Linked DNA regions of Lytechinus pictus. The protein of the gene in region 1 purifies or fractionates together with the protein of each later gene. This does not show direct contact. Links are inferred from orthologs where the notes say so. Each region holds a gene or a part of one and is shown in the gene's direction. Other genes may lie near its edges.

Region 1 (11,706 bases):
AAAACACTGGTTAATCCGATCCATGTGGTAACAGGAGAAAAGTTTATGAAGTCATCAAAAATAAAGGTTTCGCAACCTGCCTTGCCAAGCTCAGACGGCTTAAAGGCAGAATCAGGGATATGTATACAAGTGAAAAGCAAGAGATACTAAGCATATCTAGACTGACTCGATAGCACACTCACCACAATAGAATACCCATAAATTTAGGAGAACTTGTTCAAGTCTCAAATTATTTTCAGCATAGTTTGACCTCGTCGAAAACAGCCGTTTTAAAATTTTTTGTACAAGCTTCATACAGGTGGTTTGAATAAAAATGTATAAAACGGCTGTTTTCGACTCGCCGTACGGCCGCCATAGAGCAAATGTGACCGAGGTATTACTGATTTGGTCTGATTCCAAACTGCTAGCTTTCTACAGCCCATGCACCCAACTGCTCATTAGGATGAGAAAATTATGTAATTTGCTTCCAAACTATGGGAATACCAGCAACCAAATTCCTGTGAAAGTTGTTGTAACACTAATAGTATCTTCTTTGAGAAAAATTACAATTATCTTTCATACTGGCAAAAATACCTGGTACATGTACTTTCCTGATCGGGATAGATCAGGGTAAATGTCCAATCGGAGAATAAGAATTCTCGAACTTTGTGTCTCTCTAAATAGGGCTACTGTAAATATTTTCAAAATTACTATTCAAAATATAACACTGGTATATGTACATGTTAGTCCTCAGGAGGAGGGGGGCCGGGAGGAGGGCCTGGTGGGGACCAGACACAACCATATTGCTGCTTACATTTCCAACCTGATAAATACATTGAACAGGGTGGTCTTTGCTGGTTGGTGGGTGGAATTCATGTGACAATTTTAATGCTGAGGAGGTAAAAAAATGCCAGAAATCAGAATAAAAATAGTTTATAATTAAGGAAAATTTCTTAGTTGTTGCATTTTGGCATTTAATGTACCCCCCGCCTATATTAGGAGTATTTTTTTGGGGGGGTGGGCGAATCATTTGGTAAATGTTTGGAAATCAATGTATTGAAAAGGGTATAAATTTTACCAATCAAATAAATTCTGAGTCTTTTATTGATACAGATGAGTCCCCATAGTCACATAGCATTTTTTATAAAGCTTGGAAGAATTTATGGTAAAATCAGGGACATGGAATTTGAAGAAATATGAAATAATGCAAAAAAAAAGATAATTACCTTTTAAGTATATTATTCCCTCTCATATTAACAGAGAAAACAGGATAGTTAAGGTTGCTTCAAATTCAAACGAGAAAATGTTACTATAAGTAAACAAAACACAAAACTTTCCTTTTTAGTAAAGGAAAGCAAGATTTTCAAGACTGGCATTGCAGAAATGCTAGTTTTATCAACTTTCCCCCCTTTTTTGGGCTCTGATCAGTGATACCTTTAACCGATTGTAGCATACAAGATTAATGTTTTCCCTTAAATCTTCATGTATGTGAACATCTCATGTCTATGAAGTTTGTGGGAAAGACAGGAAGAATGGCGGAAGGAAAGGAGAAGGTTAGCAAAGGGCTAAATTATACCTGTGGGTTTTGAGACGTCGTAAGGACAGAACATAGCTCTGGCACAACGCCAGGGCTCTTCAAAGCTTGCTTCAGTTCTTCTGTGCCCTGCAGTGGGGGAAGGAGAAGGAAGATGAGGAGGAGGAGAGGAGGGGCAGAGGAAGATGGGAGGGGAGAAGGAAGGGTTGAGGAAGACATAAGGGGAGGGAACGGGGATGAGGGAGAGGGGGATGGGAGGAGGAAGAAGGTGAAGAGGAAAAGTGAAAAACAAAAAGAGAAGGAAATGGCAGGAAAAAAAAACAAAGTTGACAAATAGAAAACAAGGAAAGAGATATGAGAAAAAAAGAGGATATGAAAATAAAAAAGAGCAAGGTGGAAGAGATAGGGAAGGAAACAAAGAAAGAAAATTAAAAAGAAAGGGAGAAAGAATGAGAGAGACAGAGAGAGAGAGAGCAAGAAAGAAAGAAAGAAAGAAAGAAAAAAAGAAAGAGAGAAAGAGAGAAGAAAGAGAGAAAGAAAAAGAAAGTAAGAAAGAAAGAAAGAGAGAAAGAAAGAAAGAGAGAAAGAAAGAGAGAAAGAAAGAGAGGAAGAAAGAAAGTAAAAAAGAAAAAAAGAAAGTAAGAAAGAAAGAGAGAAAGAGAGAAAGAAAGAGAGAAGGAAAGAAAATGAGTAAGCGATGCAGCACATCGAAATGGGGTGGGGGAGGGATTGAATCAGAAAACAAAAACATGGTAAATTAAAAAGGGAATGAGGTAGCATGTGGAAATAATGAAATTGAACATTTAAAAAAAAATACTCAGATCACTGCAAAGGAAATTTAGAAAGATGACGAAAAAAGTTATGGGTAATGCCAAGTACAGTTTTTGTAGTGAAAAAAATATAATTATCGATTATCAGTAAGCAAATTAGAATCATAAAATGTGATCATTTTTATTGCACCTTTCACACATTTTGTTTTATGACATCTATAGTTTTTCAAACATTTCATTTTTTCACATTATAATTTAAGCTTTGAAACAGAACTTTAGATTAATAAAATAATAAAATGAAAGGGAAATATGGTTGAAACAAAACAGGATGGAAACATATGTTCGTAATCAGGTGTGGATTCATGGGTTACTTCCTCTTTCTTAATGATTTTCCTTTAAAAAACTAAGTACAAGTCAGTGAAATTGCAATAAAAATTGTAATAAGTGGAAAAGATCAAGGCATTCAACACCTAACAATCTCTCAAGTTACATCTCTAACTTTCCATAAAAGTTCCATATACTGAGGACCATTGGAATTCAACAAAAAACAAATTGCCATAATAAAGCTTGAAATATAGAATGTGAGTCTGAATAAATTCATGAAAATCAATTATGTACACAAAAAACAAAATTTAAATATGAAATGTTTCAGAAAGTGAAACTGAATATTCTGTATTCACAATCACAGCTATTAAGTTTGAAAAAAAAAATAGACCACTTCAGATCTATACATCTCATTGGATGAAAAATTAAAACTTTCACCATATTTTCTGCTATTTTCATATTTTCAAAACCAAATCTCTATTCATAACTGCTTCAACGAATGTCTGCTTCTCTGATCATAGGAATCAAAGTTCGAGAGTTCATATATATTTAAGTACAAAAATAAAAAGCATATCAATAACAAACAAGCGAACTTATCTGGAATACATATAGGAATACATGAATCCCCCAAACCAGTAGTGAGAAAATATGTTTGATGATAAAAAGGGTTTGGTGAACATAATTGAATATACATGTAATTAGGTGAAATCATAAAATACATTGATGGAAGGTGTTGGAGATAATAAAAAAACAACAACAAGATAAGAAAACAAGTTTAAAGGAAGGGTGGATACAACTTCTAGATCAAATTTAAAATCATTAACAAGTCCACCCAACCAAAAGCTGATTTGAATACAAAAAAGAGAAATTAAATACCGGGTATGCTTAACACTGAAAATTTCATAAAAATCGGATATAAAGTAGGAAAGTTACTATGACATTTTAAAGTTTCGCTTATTTTTACAAGACAGTTATATTCACATCCTAGTCGGTATGCAAATGAGGGGACTAATGACATCACCCACTCACTATTTCTTTTGTATTTTATTACTTGAAATATGACATATTCTTATTTCCCCTCATTGTGAACAAGTTTAAGTCCTCCCTGAACAAGTGGGATTACCATTGTTTTAAGATTTTGTGGTTCAGTCAAGTTCATCTTTATTGTAAAATCTGTAAAAATTGAAATATTGTATAATGCGGACATTAAAAAAACAAAAGAAATAGCGAGGGACATCATCTACTCTCTCATGTCTCTGAGTTGTGCATAACTGTTTTTTGAAAAAATAAGCAAAACTTAAAAATGTCATAACTTTTTTTATTTTACATCCAACTTTGATAAAATTTTCAGCTTTCTGCTTCTATGATTTTTCTCATTGATTCAAATCAACATTTTCTGGGGTAGAGTTGACCTTTAAGGGGCATCCCCCTCTCCTTATATCATCTCTCTTCTCCAACATCATTTTATCATCGTTCATAAATTTATTACTTTAAAGGTGATCAGATCATCCTCAGGTTGTCTATCAAAACAAAACAATGAACCAATGAAGTTTCTCAGTTAGTTTCACATATCAATATACATGTAGAATGAAAAGTTACTTAGGAAAAGTCCACCCCAAAAAAAACTTTAAAAAAAGAAAAAATCCAACAAGTGTAACACTGAAAATGTTAACAAAATCATATGTAAGATAACAAAATTTTGACATTTTTAAGCTTCCCTTGATTTCACAAAAAAAATTATATGCACATCCTGCCAATGAGAAGACTGATGACATCACCCACTCACTACTTCTTTTGTACATGCATAATGATGCATTTTATTTATTATATGAAATATGTAATATTCTAATTTTCTCCTCATTGTCATGTGATTATGTGAAACAAAGCTTTACTCCAGAGCTGTTAGCATGTGGTATTACCATTTATGGTTCAGTCGAGTTGAACCTTATTGTCAAATTTCAAATCTGTAAAAAATGAAATATTTTACAATTCAAACAATAAAAAACAAAAGAAGTAGTGAGTGCCAGACATCATCGACTCTCATTTGCATGTCATTGAGTTTTGTGAAAAATATGAAAAACTTAAAAATATCATAACTTTCCTATTTTACATCCGATCGTAATGAAATTTTCAGTGTTGGTCGCATTTCATAAGTTGGGTATGCAAAAAGGGTGGCGGATGAACAAATAATAAATTGTACCTACATCACAGCCCCATGGCCAAATTTGTTGTGTAAGGTCTCATTTTTGGAGCTAGAACTATAGGCTAAATAGTAAATATATTACTACAAATTAGATCAATACAATATCAGCAACAAAAACTATAGCACATTAAGTTTGAAGTTAAGGGGTGGCAGAGCCGGTGGATGCGGTGAATGATAATATTGTTGTAATGTGATGCTTAACGCATCATTTTTGTTCATTTACAGCATTTTCATTAGTTAAATGTCACTACTTAAACAAACTAAAGTTCAAATTTAATGTCAAAACAAACTTTTGAAACTACTGTATTTCAATGTCCCTATACAGTTAAATTATTAATGATGTTCCTAATAAATACACTCGATTAAGTAGGAAAAGTTTATCCAATATATACATTCAATAACCCTTTTTTCCCTAATTTCTTTTAATTTCAATATTGATTGAGTCTAATTTCACTTTAGAATTATTTTAAAGACTCTGGGCATCACTTTTTTAAGTTGAAGTACATTCATAAAAAAAGATATAGGCATGCAGGTAAATTATGTTAAGTTAATTAACTTAAATAACAACTAAAACATGCATTATTGTGCCATGATACATTCTATTATGTCATAATATGTACAATTGTACATGTACATGTATACTGACTGTCAGACTCATATTTCTAGCCAGTTTAAATTATGCAAATTTGACAACTTTGAAAACATTCCAGAATTAGCTACATGTACATGTGCATTTTAGCTCCAATCTGCAACCTATCTACCGGTAATTAGTAAATCCTATCTAATTAGTAAATTTTAGGAAAATATTGTTAACTATTTAATTTATAAACTTAATTTATACTATTTTAAAGTCTTGTATCATTAAAAAAACAACATTTTTTTCTATTCACGGTGTAGTGAATTTGCAAGGCATGTGAGGGTGAGCTGAGAGTCACTTTTTTGGAAAAAATTGCAAAATTAAACATTGTTAAAATTAGATGTAATTAATATGCATGCAATAACAGATTACCACTTTTTTGTTATGGATGTATTAAGCATTGATGTTCAAATAATACAACTGCAAAATAACATCGGTATAACAATAACAATAACAATAACAAAATACTAGGGTGATCCAATGTAGCATTAATTTTTTACACCATTTTTTGTGCAGAAAGTCCAATTTGAGAAAAATGCATTTAAAAATTCAAATTTACATTGACATCAATGTATTAGATATAAAATGAGTCATTTTAAGAAAAATAAAGGTATTTTAGGATAAAATCCTCCTTCAATATTTGAAGAATGGTAATACCTAAAAAATAACTTTTTCGACCATTTTTACCCTGTTCGCAAAATTGGACCACTTTATGACATGCGACCTGTTATGCTTGTTTGATTTTTCTCTATTCAAAATTATATCAATCTGTGATGGACTTGACCTTCAAAAAAGCATTCACATTTATTGTGAGTAGCCTTTATTTTGATCCCCAACCCACCCCTCAGTAGAATAAGAGAAAAATCTTCCTGCAATCAATATTGTTCAGTTACAATGTATTTTCAATGAATCCAGAACATAGTCGTAGATACTGCTCGTACTGTGGAGATCTGAAGAAAAAGAAAGTAGGGCCTAACTCTCTCACCCAAATTTCAACAAAGAAGTTTCATCAGGAATTTAGATCTAAACATTAAACACCTTTGGCAAAGCTAAAATATAAATAAAAAAACATTATTTCAAGATTAATTTTTAATCAACATCACCACCCAGTGTTGGTAAAAAATAAATTGTTAAACATGACTAGCACTATACAAATAGCTCCATGGTATAGGCATATCCACCACCAGCACCATCTGCATTATCAATATCATCACCATCACCATTATGATTTATCATCATCATCGTCATCACATCATCATTCATCTGTTCATATTTATGACATCATCGTCATCATCATCAACATCCTCATCATCACCACCGCCATCACCATCACCATCATCATTCAGTCACAGAAGCAAAATCAGCTGTACTTGGTCTCACTCTCAGACATACTCATAGTTCAGTCTCAGCCTCGGCTTCTGCTGCAAATCATCATGCAAAAAAAGCCAAAATCAGCAGATCAGGATTCAGGCCAGGCCAGGGCCAGGGATATGGCCTGTGTCAGTCTGAGCTGCTGAGTCTGAGCAATTTTGGCAAAGGCGTATTACTAATTTTAGCCGTTGCTTGCCAGTGGCAGTGTAGTCCTTACCTGTTGTATTACCACATTGTCAGGCACAAGAAGTTTCAGAAGAATTTGTTCAAGCGCTGATGACATTTTCCCAGGCTAAGCTCCGTCCTTCCCTGACACAAACTCAAGTCTACTCTAAAATCTAATGCCAATGCACTTCCTACGATTACGGTGCGCTCCCAACCCCGTCTTCTGCCAATTCTCCACGTAAAATGAATGAAAGTGTGCATGCATGGCACGGGTGTGATGAGTAAGTTAGACTCTTCAAAGAAAAAATGAGAAACCGGAACTTATTTGCACATGCACTGTGTAAGTGTAAAGCAAGCGACAAACAATAAAACAACTGGTAACACATCTACGTCTGAACAGTTCAAAGGTCATTATGTCCACATGGTTAATGTTATTTTGACACTGACGTGTTTCTCTCAGACTTTGTAAGATTGTAACTTTGAGGAGGTTTCGTCGCATCAAATATGGGAAAATCGAAGAATAAGAGATTCCGTTCAAAGAAGGCACAGCCGACTGGTTTGGAGAGTGTGAAGGAAATACAAGCAGAGGAAGAAGAACTCGGCACGTCCACGACCTCCTCGGACACCGTACAGCTGAAGACAGTCGGAGTGTTGGAGAAGGTGCGCGGGGCCCCGCCCCGGTAGTTTTTGTGTGTGTCGAGTGGTTGAGAGCAAGAGACGTGATTGCGGCCGGGTCGGGTGGGGTCACTTGTTCACTTCTCCCACGTCCCACCCTGCCTTGAGTGTGGGGAATCTAAATTATGTAGATCACTGCAGTATACAATTCACATTTAAAAATTCATTAAAATGCCACTTTAAAAACCATACAGTTGTCATGGCCATGGGGATCAGTTATTCACTGACAGTGACACAAGTCACTGGACCTGGACTCTGGAGCGCTCAAAACTTGAATTTTTGGCATATATTTGTGCAGGCCCTCTATTGATAGAAAGTAAAATTTTAAGAAAATTGTCATTTTTCAATCTCTTTTTTTAATTCAGAAAAAATACTTGAATAAAAGACTTCAATTTTTAAGATAATAAGAACCCGGGGGGGGGGGGGGGCACTTCCATTGACGAGTGGATACCATGCGCGACCATTTATTCTCGAATAGCACCCTAAACAAGTATTTTCCAAATTCTGAAAATGCATCCCTAACAAGTATTGGCATGTGAAACCCTACCCTTAACAAGTCCTGGGGGGGGGGGGGGGAGGGGGGGCCATGCAGTCAAACAAATAAATAAGTACAGCGATGTTTTAATTTTTAAGTCACAGTCTTAAGTTTTACCTTTACCTACATCATTGGGTTTATAGTACGGCACCAGCTTGTGTAAATCGTACACGTAGTGTTGACTGTTGGGGCAGAAAGTACATCCTTTATAAAACATTTTAGTCTTTTTTATACCCACGCAAATTTGACCCTTGACGTAGCTTTCCTAGCGAAATAGATACCCTTTTTTCATTATTTTAGTGGTCTTGACACTCTTATTACGTTACATACGTAACATGCCCTATCTTGGAAAAAGAGATCCTTATTACATGTTTTTTGTGGTCGCGCATGGTATCCAATCATCAATGTAAGTGGCCCCTCTGGGCTTAAGAACCAAGTTATATGATGAATAGTTGTAATGGAAAATGACAGTGTAAAAAAAAAATCAAGCATTTGTCAAGAGAAACAAGAGAAAATAAGCCAAACATTGCCAACCACAGGGAATAGTAACCTTGTTCATTAAATGAGCGGTTGGGATGAGACTTTCTGCAGGTATTTTGTAGCTGGCCCAAATCAGAATGCCCATTATAGCAAAACGGTTAATTATGTTCATTATTGTCCATGTGAGCGCTCTAATTTTAGCTCAATTGTATTCAGTTTTACCCTTGGCCTCGGCCCTCCATTTACAGTAACTTAGAGGCGCTGGTCAGAAAATTGGGACCGTCCCAGTTTACAGGGACTATCTCAGTTTTCAAAGATTCCACCACACAAGAAATCTAGGAAAGTTCATTCACCTGTGCCGACACCAATCTAGTGCGCTAGTCAATGTAAACATATAATCGAGTTTCACAAAAAGATTATTGGAAGACGGCATATCGTGAAAAGACAGTGAACTGGGGGGAATTGAGGTCACTGAATCTAATTTTAGCACTCTCAATCCCCGAAATTGCCGTCTTTGTCCCGCATGGGTAAGTGAAAAAAAAATGTCCCCATAAACAAGGACAGTCTCAATTTATTAAGACATGATTTGTCTTGGTTTATGAGTATATTCTTGTTTTCTGGGACAATCCCAATTTTTGGACCAGCGCCTCTACTGATTTGAATTGTCTCAGTTAACAATTAGATTAGATAATAAATTCAACTGTCTCATACTGATAATAAGCTTTTAATTTGTCATATATAGTCTAGTAGACTACATTAAAATAATCCTCAACACCTAAAACACAATGAAAATTACTTAAAAGTCTCAGAAATTCCATATCTAACTTCTGAAAAAGTAGCAAAATAGATCATCTTTATGTGCTGAAAAATAAACATAACAGGACCTAGCTTGCTCAGCTGTGTGTCGCACGCACGTTTTTAGTATACAAGTTATCTCGTGTGTAAGCATTGTCGTATGCTAGCGAAAATCCATTAAAAAAAAAATTCATAATGCAAGCCTATGTCTATGGCTTTACTATGTATTGTGTGCTGCACAGTGTGGCTTTTCACGACCATACACCGAAACTTCAACAATTCAAGTTTTGACAATGATCTTGAGATTTTGATGATATCGAACCTTAAACCCCTAAAATTAGAAAAGAATGAAATAAGCTATCTATATCTCAGAATAATTGACAAATCTAGCTCATTTTGAGCGGATTACGTTTGATTTTAAAGCTAACTTTGATATCAAAATCCGCTGCATTCACCGTACAGGGGTACAATCATGGTGGATTCTTCCGCCCAACGCGCACATACAAATTTCGTGCACATCCGCGATAGCGCCAATTAGCGCTCATTGTGGATCCTACTGTCTCACTCTCAGTTTTCAATCAAACTAATTGATTAATGTTACAGTCTACAAATTCAATTTTTAGGAAAGTTCAATCACCTGTCAAGTGCTGACACTTATCAAGTGCACAAGTCAATGTAAACATACAGTATCAGGTGTCTAACAAGATTATTGGAAGACGGCAAGTCCTAAACAATATATGGTGAATTGAATCTGTTGGGATCGAGGTCACTGAATCTACGTTATTTTTAGCACTCAATCCCCTTAATTTTGGTTTATGTCCTGCAGCTGCGCAGGGAGAAGTGGGAAAAAAAACTCAATTTATCAAGACACGATTTGTCTCATTTTATGAGGATATCCTTCTTTTTGGGGCACTATCTCAATTATTGGACCAGCACATCTATGTTAATCAGTCTAAAAAATGTGAGTCATACATGGTGTATTGTCTTTGATCATTTGTGAACTTGGTAAATGTCATGTTGGTCAGTAGTAGTCGGCTGAAATACGTCTGGAAGATGTTTTTTTTTAAAATTTGTTTCCTCCTTCAGTCCAGGCCAGCAGATTGGAAAACCGAATGAAAAAACAATGCAGAAAAATGGTAGTACTAAAAATGGGTGAAGGAGAAGAATATATGCAACAATCTGTCAGAGATGCATGCTCTTTGGATGAACTTGACAACTTTTTCTGTCTTCATTTTCAGCTTCAAAGTAGCTCGGCTGAGGAGAGAGAATGTGCCTGCACGTCTCTGGCAAACTTGGTCCAGGATCCCCAAGCACTGCAGACCTTGGTCCAACAGAAAGCAGTGCGTAGCCTTGGGCCTCTTCTCGTTGACCCATCATCAGGTATCCGAGAAGCTGCGGCTGGAGCTTTGAGGTAAATTTCTTTGTATATTTCTGTCTGTCTCTCTCCCTGTCTGTCTCTCTCACTCTCTCTCTTTCAGAAAAAAAGAAGAAGTAATTTTTACTTGCATTTAGGATCTGTGTGCAGATTGTCCTAATTTCCAAGGTTTATTTCAAAGTTAAAGAGTTCACAAACTAGTGGCTTAAATTATAATGCAATTGCAAAGCACTCAGGGGTCAATTTTCTTACAAAAATCGACCAAAGAACTTTCTGAACGCAGAAATCATTGTTGCTATTAAAGACTCAAGATAGGGATTGATAAATAATCTGATGAAAATATGCATTTTGTAAATTTGTAATCTGATGAATTTACAAATTTGTAAATTCAAATTAGTAAATTTACAAATGTTGTAAATTCACAAGTGATTGTTTTATTGTGAATAATGAAATATTAATTTATTTTCTTGATATTGTTCAGGAATCTGACTGTAGCAGGTGGACATGATATTTGTGACCATATGATAGATGAAGACATCATGACCCCTCTAGTTGCATTCCTACTTCAGGTAAGAATCCATGTCAAAGGTTATTGTATACTCTATACACTTTTCTTTATGGCTTTTGTCCTCAAACAACTCAACAAATAGAGTCAATGTTTTTAGTTTATGTATTAAAGATATTTCACTTATTTTCTTTTATTATTATTTTTTGATTGATTGATTGATTTATTCATTAATTCATTTATCTATTTCATTTTTTAAAATATTCTTTTATATTTTGTTGGCAGGCTCAGGTCAAATTTTAGATCAGTTGTCAAGCTATAGAGTATCATGAAAGGTTAATGAATTTTCAACTAAGAC
Region 2 (11,661 bases), on another chromosome or scaffold:
AGGTCTACCCTTGGGGTCACCAGGTTGAGGAGTACATGTTTTTTTCCCTGGAGCTCCAACATTGAGGGTTCTTCGTATCACTCGTTGCTCCTCTTCATGGCAGACAATGGCAACCTTGTGAAGCTGTTCGTTCCATGCTACCTTGAAACAAAGACGTGACGTCTTAGCTTCAGAGGTTTGGAATGGATCTGGTTGGATAGCTACCCAATCTTCTGAACTGATTTGTCTCTCCATGATACTCTGTAATAATAATGAAAATAAAAATAATTAGACAATTTATAGGGCACAGGTAATAAGAATCCTGGAAGCGCTGAAAGACTTGTGACAAATTTCCCCACCTTTTGTGGAAAGCCTTCAATCTCATTTTGAGCGCATGCGTGTTTAATTTTCTTATATCCGCCTCTATAGTGATATGATGACTTCGATGGCGATTTATATAGGTCAACTACTTGTATGTCGCATCGAGCTAGCGGAGGCGTCGTATGCCTAGCTAGGTCCTATAGGCCAGCCCAGCAGTCCAGAAGAGGCTTGGTACAAGAAATTCTCTATTAAGATGCTTCCTTGTTGCATCTTCCCATTATCTGCACTGAAGAGTACCTACATCCAGTCCTGGAACCAGACATGGTTGGCATTTCAGCAAGTGGGTATTCAATGTTTATCATTTTATTTAAATGTAGTGAGGCACTGCATAATTTTCCCTTTTCATAATGCCTTTGGATATATGTTAAAAAATATTCTTATTAGTATGCACCAGATCACACAATTTCACCTTGAAAAATGAAAAAGCTCCACACCGTGGGAGAGGTGGTCGCCCCCCTCCCCCACTCCCTCGATTCGCTCAGTTGGGCTTGGTCACTTTACTCCCTTGCGCTTAGCTTCTCGTAAAATCTCACTCTCAACAATTATCAAATGTTGGCAGCCCTGATAAACTGTAGTGTTAAATTCATGGTAATTCCACATGTTCAGGGAGGAATAAAATTTTGTTTCACATGACAATGAGGAGAAAATTTGACTTTTTCATATTTACAAAATACGAAAGAAATAGTGAGTGGGTGACATTTCTCGATACAACATGCAATCGTTGGCAAAGAGCCGGGTTGCAGATGAGACTTGTTGGGGAAGATCATTAACATACAGCAAAAAGAGTGTGGGGCCGTGGACAGTCCCCTGGGGGACGCCCGATGCAAGATACATGCTTTAGATGTTACGCCTTCAAGAACTAGCACATATGTCACTAGTAAGAGGTTAGTATGCTGGAGCTGGATCTAGCATAGCGACCAAGTCAGAAAGTAAAATAGTCAGAGACTGAAATTGAAAAAAAAGCTCAACTTTGCATCTGTCTGCTGGCAATGGCTCAAAAAGATCTATGGCAAGTTCCCACAAGTCTGCATGTGCAGTCCCCCTTGTCTACGCACACGCATATCTGCGCGATTCTAGTAAGTTGTTAGTTGTAACACATAGACAGATATTCATTTAAAAATCTGACTCATAATTAATGGTGGAAAAATAATGAATTTTGGGCATTTCAATGCGACGGCCTCAAATGCAGCCTTTCTCATCAAATTACCCAAATCATGTGCAAAGTGAATGGGTGCGCAGACATGCAGGGGTTCCATTTTTTTTTCCAATCTGAAAAAGACTGACCGAGGTTTTTTCCAAGAAAATCCTATACTGTATTTCTTTCAAATTTGTATGAGATACTTGATACACTTACTCATAATAATATAAGGAACATTATTCACTGAAATATTTTGTGAAATAAAAGAGAAATTCATGTTAATTCTTAACTCAAATCGTTAAATGCGCAGACTTGGGGACCACCATCATACCATCTACTCTGGTAAACAATTTCAGTGTCACTCGGCTCACACAGTCACAGAAACTTAAGTCACATAATCTCTCTACCCTCTAAATGTAGTTAACCCAGAGAGCTCCGGCCCGCTTCGCGCGCCTGGATTACCTTAACATGCTTTTAATAATTAACAAGTTCTAACTAACTTTAATTTAGTTGTTACAATTACAACTACGACAATAAAAGTAAATAATCACAAAGACTGAAAACGACTGAAAAAAGATGGAAGATTATTAGATCTATTAACCTCAACTCAAGTCAAGTGATGTTCTAACCCAGGGAGCCCAGTAGTCGACTGTGCAAAGGAGAGGTATCGCGACAGAACTTTTCGTTTCTTAAAGGTTCCAGTCTGTGTCTCGATGTCAGGATTTGTGTGTCACGAAGTTCATCCATATAATCGTGGTACATGTAAGTGCATAATTTCCGTTTCCACTTTTATTAAGATTACTATTTGAGACCCCAATCTACCCCAGGGGCCTGTTGCATGAGATGGTCTTTGGTAATACCGCTCTACATAAGAACGAGATATCGCTCAACTGTTTCACAAAGCCGATTTGGGCGATGCAAAGAATGATCCTTGGAAAGACACCTCCAGACATGTCCTACGTAGGCATGATCTTCTTTGCACACCGCCCGCCACCGTCAGCATTGAGAGAATATGCGTTTATGGCAAGCCACACTGACATATCACCTTTAAACATTTTTTTTTTGGGGGGGGTCATTCGAGTGCACTCTGATGCATTTTATCTGGGATGGCGCCAAGTTATTTTTTATATGGGGGGGATAATTTCAGGGGCCCGTCTTACAAAGACTTGCGATTGATCCGATCAATCACAACTATGGAAAGCCAGCAAAGTCAACATATAAAATGCATGTTTGCTCAAATTTTTTTTATAGATGAATGTATATCCATAAATTCATTGAATTCTAGATAATTCGATGTGTTCTTTGTTTACAAAGGACATTTTGCAAATTTCCTGTAGAAAAAATTATGACACTGATGGATTTTCATAGAGTTAAGATTGATTGAAACAATTGTAACTCTTTGTAAGACGGGGCCCAGATCATCTTGCATGGCAAGACGACCCAAAACGGGTGTCACTTTAACTTCTCCGGGGTCAATCTAGGCCCAAATAATTTTTTTTAGTATGTTTTCTTTTATTCTCCCTCCTGTCTTTTCCCCACCCCCTTTCCAGTTTTTTTTTTAAATTAAACTTGAAGTTGAAATATCGAAATGAGCGGCAGCCTCTCATTAGATAAACAACATGAAAACTATTTTTTTTTTAAAGAGATCATTATGAATGGTAAAAAACGTGTTTATAACGTTCAACGAAAAAAAGACAGCACGATACAAAACTAAGATGTTACTAAACATGCTTAATCATTTATTTATTTTTATTTCATTTTCATAATGACAATCACTAGCGTACCTACGGGGGGGGGGGGGGGCAGAGGGGGCACTCTGCCCCCTGACGAGCAACCATGACCCATACAAAAGACATATACCTGCCCCCCCTGACGAGCTTAAAAGACCTTTTTTGCCCCCTCCCCTGACGAACTTGAAGACCTTTAATGCCCCCCCTGAAGAGCCTGAAGACCTTTTTTTTTTTTTTTTTTTTTTTTTTGCTTGTCAAATTTTTTGGCGGCCGATTTTGCCCCCCCTGTGGAAAATCCTAGGTACGCCACTGATGACAATTATTATTATTTTTTGCCGAGATTAATTTTAATTAATGAAAATTAATTGATGGATTTGTGCTAACTTGAGATGATGAATGAAACAAAAAAAATCTGCAGTGACTTAACAAAATAGCTAATTGAATTTAATATATAGATTAGGCCTAATAGCTTACGAATCCATCACAATCATTATAAATGAGGATAAGTTTGTTGTATCAATAAAAGAAAAGATTATGAAAAGTCCATACGAAGAGGCGCATTTTAAATCGTAGGGTAGGACCTATCGGCCCCTATGTCATGTTAAAGCAATAATGTAGTCTCGACTCCTTAACTTTGAAATGTTGAACATAATATTCTTAAAGCTTATATTCTTATATAAACTTCCATAAAGTTAATACTAAATAGGTTCATTATTGCGGACTGAAATAATCGCTAGAGGGTATTCATTTGTCTCGCAATCTACTATGGTCAACAAGGAAATTTGTGATCATAAAGTTATCAACTTTAAATATGACCAACGTTTATGATAGTTGTCATTTTTAGCATTGTTTCTGAAAATTGTATTTTTTCCATTGCGGATTGATTTCACACATTTTTCTATGTTTTATTATTGCAAAGCACTACTTTACCCACTTGGACATGTTTGCAGCAATTTTCATATTTTGCTTGTCTTCGATTACTCATCATGCAAAGGTATTTCTTGCGTGATATCTGACAAATAAGATAAATAAGATTTTTCACAAGCAGCCTCTCATATTTTCCTTTTTAGTCTCAAACAATCAGACACATTGATTTTGTTTACTCCATTCAAACCCTATTTTTACCTCAACAAATAACATTTAACGCATAATTTGCAAAATCATCATTATAAATAAGTATTCTATAAAAAAATCAGAATATTGAATTAATACAATGTCAAAATTGCTTAGTTAATTCAATTTTTATGTTGGTCAAGGGTCTCTTTCGTTGAAATATCAATGAAAGGTGTCTCTAAAAGGACACCGTGTTCTAAATAAGAGAAATATAAATGAAAATTTTGCAATTTTATCCAGTTTGTTTGTGAATCTTTAAAGTTTTTTCTCCTTTTACCTCATAAAGTAAGCTCCATACATCAATTCTACAATCAGTAATAATTAAAACATTATTTGATCTCCATTTATTGAAATATATGATTTTATGAAAAGTTGTCATTCCGAAATAAAAGGTTCAGGTGACGATGAAGACTAAATATTTTTCCGATACTATAATCGATATCAAACGATGTCGCGGACTTGGAAGACAAAATTACCTCCGTGAAACGGTAAGCGCTGATTTGTCGCCAATCTTCCTATCTCGGAAGAATGGTCCTAGGACGTTCCTACGGCTACGTATCGCTCATCTCGTCATGCAACAGACCCCAGTGTCTCCCTCGTTTTGCACGGTCAACTCCTGGGCTCCGGCCCACGAAGCGGGCCAGAGCTCCCTGGGTTACCGGTTAGTCATGTTCGTGCAGGCTCCACTCCCCGCTCAGGGGCCGATTGCACGAAAGGGTCTTTCCAAGGACCATCTTTCGTGTCGCCCATATTTTATGATGCGCTGTATGCGGGATTTTACTGAAATGTACTATGATAAACAAATAAAATTTGTTAGCTAGCATTTTAATCGATTTGTATACAAATTACAATTTCCTGATATATCACATCATTTTATAAACAAAGATTTTGTTTACTTTAACAGATGAATAAAATATGTTTGCAGGTAATTTATTTAAAATGTGTTTCACATGGCGCATCATAATAAATGGGCGACACGAAAGACGGTCCTTGGAAAGACCCTTTCATGCAACCCCGGGGGGGCCACTTACATTGACGAGTGGATACCATGCGCGACCAAAAAAACACGTAAAAAGGATGTCCTTTTCACGATAGGGCACGTTACGTACGTAACGTGATAAGGGTGTCAAAAACACAAAAATAATGAAAAAAGGGTGTCTATTTCGCTAGTAAAATTACGTGTTTAGGGTCGAATTTGCGGGAATGATAAAACAAAATTAAAATGTTTTATAAAGCCTTAAAGGATGTCCATTTTGCCCCAACACTTCGTGTTTAGAGTCCGATTTGCGCGAGGTGTAGAAGATGGGGTCGTACTATACCAAATAAGGTAAAGCCGACGACCGAAGGACCCGTAACAATAAAACATTCCTGTACTTGTTCAGGGGATCATATATCAAGGAATATTTGCCAAGAGTCAGGGCCAAGAGTATATCGTTTTGTTTCCAATACTTGTTAAGGGTAGGGTTTCACACGCCAATACTTATGTTAAGGGCTGCATTTTCAGAATATGGAAATTACGTGTTTAGGGTGCTTTTTCGAGACCCCATGGTCGCGCATGGTATCCACTCGTGAATGGAAGTGGCCCCCCCGGGCATGCAACAGACCCCAGCTCACTCACTGTCACACAACTTCACAAACAAAAACATGCGAGGCGAGGCTCCCCGCTAGTAATACTAGTACCGTACTAGTAGTAGTACACAGTCACTAGACTACGCCTACGCCACGGCCGGCTTCTACGCTACAGACGTACAGTACAAAGCGTAGTGTATCGGTAGTGAAGTGGAGTGGAGCCTGCACGAACACCAGTGGAGGTAATTGTGGGCAATTGTGGATAAGATTTAAGAAAATGAGATCAAATATTGGTTACATTACAACAAAAATGAAATTACAACCTGAACTGAGGCCTGAGGCTGAGCTTCAGCTTCGACTAGCTCGAGCAATGTAAATAATCATGACGTCATCTCCCCTTTAAAGCCTTGAAGACTGTGCTCTTATCTCTATACCGCGTGCCGTTAGTTAGTTCCGGTAACGTATAGCTATGAAAAGAGTCTAGTTCAGATCAGAGAAGGTATCCCAGTAAAATCAATGTATGCTCCCATGTGAACTGAAAGAGAAAGGTATTCAGCTGTTATTTATCGTCCATCCTATCCTTTTGAATTTGGTTCGTATTTATATTTCCCCCGAAAATATTTATATGCTTATACGCACTTTTTTTTGGCTTAGAATACAATTTCCTAATTTTCTTCCTATGCATGGTAGCTGCTAGTACTTTTAGTAGCTGCGAGCTATATTAGTCCCACACATATGTTTTCGTGGAGTAGAAAAACGTTCTTAAAGGTCAAGTCCACCCCAGGAAAATGCTGACTTGAATAAATAGAGAAAAATTAACCTAGCATAGTGCTGAAAATTTCATCAAAATCGGATGTAAAATAAGAAAGTTATGACATTTCAAAGTTTTGCTTATTTTTAACAAAATAGTTATATGAACGAGCCAGTTACATCCAAATGAGAGAGTCGATGATGTCACTCACTCACTATTTCTTTTGTTTTTTATTGTTTGAATTATACAATATTTCATTTTTTATAGATTTGACAATAAAGACCAACTTGACTGAACCATATAGTATTAAACAATGCTAATTCCACATGTTCAGGGAGGAATCAATCGTTGTATCACTCGACAATTAGGAAAAAATGAGAATATTTCATATTTCAAATAATAAAATACAAAAGAAATAGTGAGTGGATGACATCATCAGTCTCCTCATTTGCATACCAGCCAGGATGTGCATATAACTGTTTTGTGAAATTAAGCGAAACTTTAAAATGTCATAACTTTCTTATTTTACATCCGATTTTGATGAAATTTTCAGTGTTTTGCTTGTTGGATTTTTATCTTTTTATTCAAATCAACTTTTTGTTGGGGTGGACTTGTCCTTTAATAAATTTAATACTTTATTAAATATTACACAATCACGAAATTTACCTGTTTTTTTTGTAAGCTTCACTTCCTAGGCTGCAAGCTGTATCAGACCTTTGTCTTAGTTGGTGCATTTGCCGATGCAGCACGACAGAGGCAGAGCAGAGCTAGAGTGAGAGTATGGACTATGAATGATATATAAGTATAACTATAAATAATGAGTAGTCATGCATGACGTGGTATGGGATTATTGGGATTGTCATGAAGACCCATGATCATTCATGATGATTGTCTGTTTTTGTTTCCCTCAAACCTTATTTATTAATTTTTCATTTATATGCTTTAAGGGACTACTTTAAGTGGTGAGATTACACAACACTTGAAACCTTTTGATGATATTTTTTTTCCAATTCAATAAGTTTAACACTTAAATAAACGTTATTAGAATAATTAAGTCTACGGTACGGAAAAAACTTAAATTAAAAGGATCATACAATACGGTTCATAAATAATGTCAAATTTCAAATTTATAGGTCTAGTCTAAAGAAGGAATTAAGTAGCATGTATTGTAGTAGACATGAATAACTGTCGTTTCTGGGCATTTATTTAACAATTTCTGACACTTTACTATCGTCCCCATTCAGTATTGGTGAGTGGAGCCAACGTAGTTAAGTGGAACAACCAATTTACAGAGACTGAAGTTGTTTGTCTAGTAGTATTGTAGGGAAAGTTCCTAAAAGTGCCCCTGGCAATATTGATTTTTTTTTCCTTCAGGATATGAAAATGGACTGTGATCAAATTCCCTAGCAATTGTCCAGAAAATTAGTTATACAGTGCGTCCCAGAAAAAACGAAACCGAGATTTAGCGATGATTTATCATAACTTAATCATAAATAAAATAGACAAATGACCTACCAATTTAAAGCTTAGAATCTCCTCTTTCATCTGGTATTACTTAGACTATTCCTCATTCACGCATGATTGAGCAAAAACAATTCAAAGAAAGGATGCCAAAAACTCATTTGGCGGGGGGTATCTGAATTTCAAAAAGAAAATCACATGACTAAAAAGTTCAATATCTTCTCTTTTCTTTGATACCTAAATCACAGAAAATGGTCAAGTAGTAAAAAAGTTATGATCCCTCGAAACAATGCTTGTATTTCCATAATTTCATTAAATAAACGTGTTTTCACCGGTTTCCCACTGAAGCTATCGCACGGTAACAAAAGACTTAATGCATGGCTGATCGTCAACAAAACGGAGTGTCGAGTGAGTGTGAACTCTAGCCTGTAAAACCTCTTCATTTTATGAAATTATTGAAATTCAAGCCTTATTTCAAATAACCAGAACTTTTTTATTTCTTGACCATTTTCTGTAATTGAGGTATCAAATTAAAGAGCAGATATTGAACTTTTTAAAAATGTGGTTTTCTTTTTAAAACCCAGATACGGCCCACCAAGTGACTTTTTGGTATCCGCTTTTCAAATTGTTTTTGCTCACTCATGCGTGAATGAAAAATAATCTAAGTAATTTCAGATGAAAGAGGAGATTCTAAGCTTTAAAATGGTAGGTCATTTGTCTATTGTATTTGCGATTAAGTTATGATAAATCATCGATAAATCTCGGTTTCGTTTTTTGTGGGACGCACTGTATAAATGTCGATCCTTCGATCTGATTTTGCCTAATATGATAAATAAGGATATAAAAATTGTAACTAAAAATGTTATGTAATTAAGGGGCACCTTATTTGTAATTTGTTATTGAAATGTCCTATGGGGGATCAATTGATTAAGTTACAAAGTAGGTATAAAAACTACAAAGGGATTGAATTACAATGAATGGAATTCATTATTCATTGAGTAAAAATGAATCATGAACCAATAAGCCCATGATATGCTATAAAGGTTGCAGTCTATTTGACTTCTACACTGTACAAGTGTAACAATGAGTCAGATTGTTATTTTCCCCTTATATTAGAAGTTCAGTTCATCTCATTTAAGAAATACCGGTATGCATCTGCATCATATTTTCACACTGCATACAGCATTAAATTGACAAATGTAGTGTAAAACAGTGACTCATCTGATATTCTCCCATAGAGTCAATGCGAGTAATTGCACAATATAATACATCTCTATGGTGTTTTCCCCTCTATTCTTTGCTTTTATTTCTTTACAGATAGTGAATATATTCTAATCTCCCCAGACTGACATTGCTTTTGTCATGAGTTGTGTCCTACTTCATATCTTATATATTTCTTTCTTTTCTTTTTTTCAACACAGTAAGCAAAGCTATGCAAAATGTACAAAAATTTTCAGTTTTGTGAGCAGTTATTTTGTAGTCATTTCATTTACTTTTACTAATGTCTATGGAGAAACGATTGGACAAAATTTGCTTTGTTTCTAGCCATTTTTCAAAAGGCTACAGATGGCTACAAAGCAGCTTTTAATATAAACAGGAGGAAAAGGGCTCAAAGTAGCTCACTGTGCAACCATTTGCAGTTACTACAGTGTACTGCCATTGTAAACTGTACTTGATTCTCCAATTTGGCTGACATAATGTGCATTATTCAATAAGACTTCTCATGTCCCTGGGTAAATTCAACAGTACTAAAATTTCAGTCCTTTATATTTTTTCATTTCAGTTTGAATACAACATCTTTCTCTTATTTTGCTATTGCAGGCAGGACCCATTATTTGATGTGAACAATTTCTTCAAGTCAAGAAGATGACAATGCAGGTTCTATTGAAACTTTGCCAAGGGCAAAGAGCAGTGTGTCCAATTCTTAATCTATCTACAAAGAGTCTCATCAGGAACAAAGTATGGAAAGCATCATCTGTGCTTTCAACAAGGAATATTGCATCAAAAATGCAAGAACACTTTCTAAACTTTGGCAGGAGTCCTCTTCGCTCAAGGAGTATAGCTTGTCTTGTCCAGCAGCGACTACCAAGTATTTCAAGAGGAGTAACCAGCAAAGTAAGTGACATGGTTTCAGGTGAAGAAGACGATCCAGAATTCAAAGCATTCTACCGTCTTCCATCCATTGTTCAGCTGAAGATACTATCAAGGATCAAGATAGTCCAGACTGGGTTAACACTAGCTCTAATCCCTCCTATCTATTACTACCATGATGCAGGTATGTTGATGACATGGCAGCTTCAGTTCTCTGTTGGTATCGCGACCTTTGCCCTCTTCATGCTTTATGCCATGAGCTTCTTCCTAAGGCGAATGATCGGAGCAATGTACCTACATCGTGAAGGAGACATTATCAAAGTCTCCCATTTGACATTCTGGGGAGGCAGGAGAGATACTGTTTTCCCGGTAATGGATGTTATCCCCCTGAGTGAAGGAAGCAATAGAGCAGATGATGTACTCTTAAAGTTGGAGAGATACAGCACAAAGGATATCCTTTATTTCACCCTGCCGATTGGACGTGTCATTAATGCGGAAGCCTTTGAAAGCGTATTTGGTCAACCTTAATGATGCAAATCTGTTAGTCTGTCAATGAACATTATTGGCATTAACTTTGTCCAGTCTTTAGGGGAAACCCCCAGAAAAGTCTTGAATATGATTTTTACTTTGGAAATTAAGTGATGTTCATGTGCCTCCCCTCTCCTGCCCTGAGAAAAACTTGGCAAAATCATATAAAACTTTATCCTGTTATATTATTGGCAGGGTTTATGTATAATCATTTCAAAAACACTTAAGTTCCAAACAAATAATACACCTTTTTGTTTATTTAGTAGCAGATTGACCTCAATAAGTCCCCCCCCCCCCCAGAAAAAATGTGATGAATCTAAAATGACATACTTGTATTTATCCTACCCCCCCCCCCCTTTAAACAAAATTAGAAAAAAGGAACATGAATGAAAATTGTTTTCAATATCTTGCATTAATATCTTAGAGTCCAACAGCATCATGAATATGTCGCAGACAATACACACGTCAGATATTGATACTTAAATTTTTAGTGATATTCACATCCAGGTGCACTATGCATAAGTTAGATATTAGGTGCTTATTGTATGTAATTGAGGGTACTATTTCATGTAAAATATACTTAGTGGTTTCATGCAGTATCTGAAAGATTCTTCAAATTATAAAATGCATTAAACATTGTTGAATATATAGTAACTAGTCCGAGTTGTTCATTGGTGAATTGATTGTCATTTATGCAATCACTATGACTGGAAAGGAAAGGGGGGACAATGGGAAGATTTGAAGACATGGAAGAGATAGCACATATTACAAGAGTGGAAAGAGATCAGAGTAGGTAGAATGGACTAGGGAAGATATTAGAATATATATTAAAGGGGCGAAAATTAAAGAGAGAGAGGAGAGGGACAAATATACAAGAGGGGAGAGATTGTAAAAATACAAGAGAGATGAGAGGGAATAAC

Evidence for each region.
Region 2: the proteins of HEAT repeat-containing protein 3-like (region 1) and transmembrane protein 186-like purify together in Homo sapiens (co-immunoprecipitation; 3 studies listed by BioGRID and IntAct, counting the BioPlex papers as one, with this or other methods). This does not show direct contact. The link is inferred for Lytechinus pictus from reciprocal best matches to the Homo sapiens genes HEATR3 and TMEM186.

Annotation. Positions count from the first base shown.
Region 1 is NC_087246.1:37,177,933-37,189,638, forward strand, and holds the start of HEAT repeat-containing protein 3-like, read left to right. Parts: upstream 1-7,377; 5' UTR 7,378-7,487; coding exon 7,488-7,643; intron 7,644-10,706; coding exon 10,707-10,879; intron 10,880-11,324; coding exon 11,325-11,412; intron 11,413-11,706. Other genes in the region: importin-4-like, read right to left, coding at 1,556-1,642, 7,036-7,101. UniProt on the Homo sapiens protein: Plays a role in ribosome biogenesis and in nuclear import of the 60S ribosomal protein L5/large ribosomal subunit protein uL18 (RPL5). Required for proper erythrocyte maturation.
Region 2 is NC_087249.1:2,090,330-2,101,990, reverse strand, and holds transmembrane protein 186-like, read left to right. Parts: upstream 1-6,387; 5' UTR 6,388-6,458; exon of another isoform or gene 6,459-6,502; intron 6,503-9,943; 5' UTR 9,944-9,988; coding exon 9,989-10,741; 3' UTR 10,742-11,389; downstream 11,390-11,661. Other genes in the region: junction-mediating and -regulatory protein-like, read right to left, coding at 1-234. UniProt on the Homo sapiens protein: As part of the MCIA complex, required for efficient assembly of the mitochondrial complex I.